Linked DNA regions of Macaca mulatta. The protein of the gene in region 1 interacts with the protein of each later gene in a pairwise test. Links are inferred from orthologs where the notes say so. Each region holds a gene or a part of one and is shown on either strand. Other genes may lie near its edges.

Evidence for each region.
Region 2: the proteins of FOSL1 (region 1) and USF1 interact in binary tests that used the Homo sapiens proteins (3 or more experiments, as listed by UniProt). The link is inferred for Macaca mulatta from reciprocal best matches to the Homo sapiens genes FOSL1 and USF1.

Annotation. Positions count from the first base shown.
Region 1 is NC_133419.1:8,525,543-8,529,361, forward strand, and holds part of FOSL1 (fos-related antigen 1), read left to right. Parts: intron 1-1,119; coding exon 1,120-1,317; intron 1,318-3,819.
Region 2 is NC_133406.1:105,840,344-105,842,897, forward strand, and holds part of USF1 (upstream stimulatory factor 1), read left to right. Parts: intron 1-331; coding exon 332-381; intron 382-543; coding exon 544-659; intron 660-997; coding exon 998-1,099; intron 1,100-1,268; coding exon 1,269-1,464; intron 1,465-1,703; coding exon 1,704-1,791; intron 1,792-2,554.

The DNA.
Region 1 (3,819 bases):
CCATCCTGGCTAACACGGTGAAACCCGGTCTCTACTAAAAAAATACAAAAAACTAGCCGGGCGAGGTGGCGGGCGCCTATAGTCCCAGCTACTCGGGAGGCTGAGGCAGGAGAATGGCGTGAACCCGGGGGGCGGAGCTTGCAGTGAGCTGAGATCCGGCCACTGCACTCCAGCCTGGGTGACAGAGCGAGACTCCGTCTCAAAAAAAAAAAAAAAAAAGCAAAAAAAAAAGCATTGGGATGGCCTGAACCCACAGCAGTGACTCTTTCCTGCCTCAGCCCCTCTGCACTGGGCACCTGCCACTTACCAGACTGTCGCACACATTCTCTCACTTGATTCTCACAGCCTCCCCGTGAGATGGGAGCTGTAATTATCCTCTTCGTGCAAACAGGTGCAGGAGTGGGTAAAAGACCAGCTGCTGGGCTCAAATACTGTTTCCTACTCACTGGCTCTGTGTCTGTGGACAACTGTTCTCCTGTCTGAAAATGAAGATACTAGGCTGGGTGTGGTGGCTCAAGCCTGTAATCCCAGCACTTTGGGAGGCCAAGGTGGGTGGATCACCTGAGGTTGGGGGTTGGAGACCAGCCTGGCAAACATGGTAAAACCCTGTCTCTACTAAAAATACAAAAATTAGCCGGGCATGGTGGTGCACACCTGTAATTCCAGCTACTCGGGAGGCTGGGGCAGGAGGATCACTCGAACCTGGGAAGCACAGGTTGCAGTGAGCCAAGATCATGCCACTACACTCCAGCCTGGGCAACAGAGTGAGACTCCATCTCAAAAAAAAGAAAAAAGAAAAGAAAATGAAGATACTACTGTGCCAATGATATGAGTCAGTATTTGTAAAGTGGTTAGAACAGTTCCTGGCAGTTTATATTTTATAAATGTTAGCTCTAATGGGGAAACGGGGGCACAGAAAGGTTATGTGACCTGCCCAAAACCACACAGCTTATGAGCAGGGATTTGCCACTAGGTCAGTCTCTGACTGCCAGGCTGTGTTCTTTCTGTTCTCAGAGCTAGCCTGTACATTGAAGGTAGACAGCAGTGTAGCCTCTGCCCAGTGGAAGCCCCTCAATCCACATGGACCTCATCTGTGGCCTTCCATTTCTTATTCCTTAGAAGTTCCACCTCGTGCCAAGCATCAACACCATGAGTGGCAGTCAGGAGCTGCAGTGGATGGTACAGCCTCATTTCCTGGGGCCCAGCAGTTACCCCAGGCCTCTGACCTACCCTCAGTACAGCCCCCCACAACCCCGGCCAGGAGTCATTCGGGCCCTGGGGCCGCCTCCAGGGGTGCGTCGAAGACCTTGTGAACAGGTAAGGCACAGAGGCATCGCAGTGGCTCCGACTCCACCCAGGAGTGCTGGGTGCAGAGAAGCTCCTACCAGAAAGGAGAACATAGGGTTAGGAGAGAGTAAGGTAGGCTATAGGTGACTACTGCCCAAGGCTGAAAGCGATAGGAGCCCCACGGGAGGCCCAGAGGATACAACAGTCACTTCTGGATCACAGAAGCTTCCTGGAAAAGGTGGCATATTAGCCTAGAAGGATGGGTAGGACTGGCAGAGGCACAGAGGAAGGAAAGGACATTCCAGGTAGAGAGGGATGGCAGGAGCAAGGATGGAGGTGGAGGCAAGAGCATGTAACGTGCGCACATGTAATGGTGAGGGGGTCTCCACCTACCAGCATGCATAGAGGGGATACTTATGTTGTCTGGGAGAGAACAGGAACAAGAGGGTTCCCTTCAGCTACTCCCTCAGTCTCAGTTTCCCTGTCTCATTTAATCCTCAAGAAATCTATCTGGGGTATGTACCCTGGTTTTCCCCATCTTCCACCAAGGAAATGAAGGCACAGAGGGGTAGTCACTTGCCCAAGATCACACAAGTAGTGAGTAATGGCACAGAACTGGCCTTGGCTCCAGGTCCATCCAGCTCTGAAGTCAGATCCTAACCACCAAACCAAGGCCAGGTGCAGTAGCTCATGCCTGTAATCCCAGCACTTTGAGAGACCTAGGCAGGAGGATCACTTGAGGCCAGGAGTTAAAGACTAGGCTGGGCAACGTAGAGAGCCCCTGTCTCTACCGAAAAAAACAAAATAAAATAAAATCCCCAAAACTAATCACCAAGCCACTCTGTCTCACTGGGAGCTAACAGAAGGCTCAAAGTAGAGGGAATTGAGAATTCTTGGCTCCTCAAGGCCCTTACCAAAATAAGTGAATAAGAGATGGTGAGTCTTTAAAGGAGTGGCTCTCTTTCCTCTCCGTGGGCATTTTGGTGTGGGAGACTACAGGGGATGAGTTTAAAAAGCTTGGTTGGCAGGTAGAGGATGGGGAGAGAGGTTAGGGCCCTGGGAAAGATGAGAGATAGCCAGGGATAGGTTTCCCAGAACAGGATGTCTGGCCTTTGTGGTGAGGAGGGACTGTGGTGTGAGCCACAGAAGCGGGCCAGGGGTAAACCCTCTTGTGCATCCTTCCTTCAGCCTGGTTCTGCGGGTGACCCTTTGATCCTGGGCTCTCCAGGTAGGGCTGTGAGCTGTGAGTTGGATCCTTTTGGCGAAATGGTCTCTCTCATCTGGCCTGTCACTCAATGTGGAATAGAGTGAGTGGGTTCTATGGGTTCTAAGTCCTACTCTGGAACCATAAGCAAGTTATCCTCCGTGGGCTTCAGTTTTTCATGGAAAGTTGGGTTAAGAATCTATGTTTAAGGCCAGGTGTGGTGGCTCACGCCTGTAATCCCAGCACTTTGGGAGGCCGAGGCAGGCAGGTCATGAGGTCAGGAGATCAAGACCGTCCTGGCTAACATGGTGAAACCCCGTCTCTACTAAAAAATACAAAAAGCCGGGCGTGGTGGTGGGCGCCTGTAGTCCCAGCTACTCGGGAGGCTGAGGCAGGAGAATGGTGTGAACCCAGGAGGCAGAGCTTGCAGTGAGCTGAGATCGCGCCACTGCACTCCAGCCTGGGCGACAGAGCAAGACTCCGTCTCAAAAACAAAAACAAACAAAAAACAACAACAACAGGCCGGGTGCGGTGGCTCACACCTGTAATCCCAGCACTTTGGGAGGCCAAGGAGGGGGATCACCTGAGGTCAGGAGTTTGAGACCAGTCTGACCAACATGGAGAAACGCCGTCTCTATTAAAAATACAAAAAAATTAGCTGGGCGCGGTGGCACATGCCTGTAATCCCAGCTCCAGCTACTAGGGAGGCTGAGACAGGATAATCGCTTGAACCTGGGAGGTGGAGGTTGCGGTGAGCCAAGATCACACCATTGCACTCCAGCCTGGGCAACAAGAGTGAAACTCTGTCTCAAAAAAAAAAAAAAAAATCTATGTTAAAAAAAAAAAAAAAGAGGCCAGGTGTGGTGGCTCCTGCTGGTAATCCAAGCTTTCTAGGAGGCCAGTGCAGGAGGATCCCTTGAGCCCAGGAGTTCCAGACCAGCCCGGGCAACATAGCGAGACCCCATCACTACAAAAAAAAAAAAAAAAGGCCAAGCACAGTGGCTCATGCCTGTAATCTCAGCACTTTGGGAGGCTGAGGAGGGTGGATCACCTGAGGTTAGGAGTTCAAGACCAGCCCGGCCAATATGGTGAAACCTCATCTCTACTAAAAATACAAAAATTAGCCAGGTGTGGTGGTATATGCCTGTAATCCCAGCTACTTGGGAGGCTGAGGCATGAGAATCACTCGAATCCAGTAGATGGAGGTTGCAGTGAGTCGAGATCAGGCCAATGCATTCCAGCTTGAGAAAGAGTGAGACTCTGTCAAAAAAAAAAAAAGGCCGGGTGCGGTGGCTCATGCCTGTAATCCCAGCACTTTGGGAGGCCGA
Region 2 (2,554 bases), on another chromosome or scaffold:
CAAAATGGCCAAGAGCACTGCCTCTGGAGTCAGGCAGACCTGGATTCAGGTTCTACTCTATCACTTACTGTGTGATTTGGTTTCTTCATCTATAAAATGGAAGTAGTGCTATCTATCTCATGGTGTTGTTTTTAATATTAAATAAGAGTACATGTGATGTACTTAGCTTAGTGCTTATGTACATAGTAAACAGCAAACACTAGTTGTTATTCTAACCTAACTCAGCTTCTGTTGGGAATGCCAATGAGTTTGCAGCCATATGTTACTGGGCCGGTGAGCTTCTCATTGACTTCTTCCCATACTCTTCCTTTTGTCCTTTCACCACAAACAGGCAGCAGAAAACAGCTGAAACGGAAGAGGGGACAGTGCAGATTCAGGAAGGTGAGTGCTAGAGACGGAACCAAGACTAAGAACCCATCATGGCCTCCCTTCCTCCCCCACCAGACCATCTCCTGTGCATCCTCCTCCTTCAGTGACATGCACGTGGAACGGGGATAGAAAGGCAGTTAACTCACAGACTTTTCTTTTGTTCTTTTAATTCAGGTGCAGTGGCTACTGGGGAAGACCCAACCAGTGTGGCTATTGCCAGCATCCAGTCAGCTGCCACCTTCCCTGACCCCAACGTCAAGTACGTCTTCCGAACTGAGAATGGGGGCCAGGTAAGGGAGGGGGCCAGGTGGCTGCAGGTGTTATTTGGGATTGGGATTGAGGGAGGTAATTGAACATGTCTTGGGGAGACCTGGCTTGGAGGATGAGTTGAAAGAGTGGACTGTTTCAGGGGAGGGGGGTGCTGATACTGGAGTAGAGACTGGTGTGAGGTTAGGTGTATGCTGAAACCTCTGTGTGGGGAGAGAAGGGAGAATGGCTCAATCCGTGTCTCTGAAGGACTTTGTTTTGGGGCCCTATCCAAGGGAAGCTTTATGAGGGGCCCTAGGATTCCCAACACTTAATCTTTTATTCTCTCTTTCCCTTGCTCTGCCTTCCTCTACACTTCTAGGTGATGTACAGGGTGATCCAGGTGTCTGAGGGGCAGCTGGATGGCCAAACTGAGGGAACTGGTGCCATCAGTGGCTACCCTGCCACTCAATCCATGACCCAGGTACAGGGTATGGGCTGGGGAGGTGACTAGAGTTCTGAGAAGTAAGATGAAGAAGGGTATTAGTAGGATGGGGGTGAAGCTAGGAACAGTGAGGCGTCTAGGGCTGCCTTGTCCCAAAGCACTAGGCTCTCCTTTCCTGGATGTTTCTCTCTCTCTCTCTCTCTCTCAGGCGGTGATCCAGGGTGCTTTCACCAGTGATGATGCAGTTGACACGGAGGGGACAGCTGCTGAGACGCACTATACTTACTTCCCCAGCACGGCAGTGGGAGATGGGGCAGGGGGTACCACATCGGGGAGTACAGCTGCTGTTGTTACTACCCAGGGCTCAGAGGCACTGCTGGGGCAGGCGACCCCTCCTGGCACTGGTGAGATACTGCATGAGGATGCTGGCTGAAAGGGCTAGAATAGGCTGTGAGACATGACTGGTAGGCAGTGAGCCTTCACTCATGACTCTTAGTGATCATTAAGATCTGGGCAGGCAGTGAGTCCGGGGCTGCTCTTCTATTAACATGTTCTTTTTAGAGGAGGGGCCCAGGGTCTTCACCTCAGGGCTTGGTGAGGTTCCTACCCATGTCCTGACAGAACCTACCCTGCATCTTCACAGGTCAATTCTTTGTGATGATGTCACCACAAGAAGTACTGCAGGGAGGAAGCCAGCGCTCAATTGCCCCTAGGACTCACCCTTATTCCCCGTGAGTGACACTTGTTTCTTCTCAAATTTCATAAGTGTTTTTTTTTGTTTTTTTTGTTTTTTTCTGAGACAGAGTCTTGCTCTGTCACCCAGGCTGGAGTGCAGTGGCGTGATCTCAGCTCACACAACATCTGCCTCCAGGGTTCAAGTGTTTCTCATGCCTCAGCTTCCCAAGTAGCTGGAACTACAGATGTGTACCACCACCCCTGGCTAATTTTTGTATCTGTTTTTGGTTTTTTTTTTTGAGACGGAGTCTCGCTCTGTCGCCCGGGCTGGAGTGCAGTGGCCGGATCTCAGCTCACTGCAAGCTTCGCCTCCCGGGTTTACGCCATTATCCTGCCTCAGCCTCCCGCGTAGCTGGGATTACAGGCGCCCGCCAACTCACCCGGCTAGGTTTTTTTTTGTGTGTGTATTTTTTAATAGAGACGGGGTTTCACCATGTTAGCCAGAATGGTCTCAATCTCCTGACCTCGTCATCCACCCGTCTCGGCCTCCCAAAGTGCTGGGATTACAGGCTTGAGCCACCGCGCCCGGCCTAATTTTTGTATCTTTAGTAGAGACAGGGTTTCATCATGTTGGCCAGGCTGGTCTCGAACTCCTGACCTCAATCCGCCTGCCTCGGCCTCCCAAAATGCTGGGATTACAGGTGTGAGACAACACACCCAGCTACCCATAAGTGGTCCTAGTACCTGCTAAATCTTGTATAATTCCTTAACCCCAAACTCCAATCATGTACTTTTGTCTTCTTACTCTGGCCACCCTGG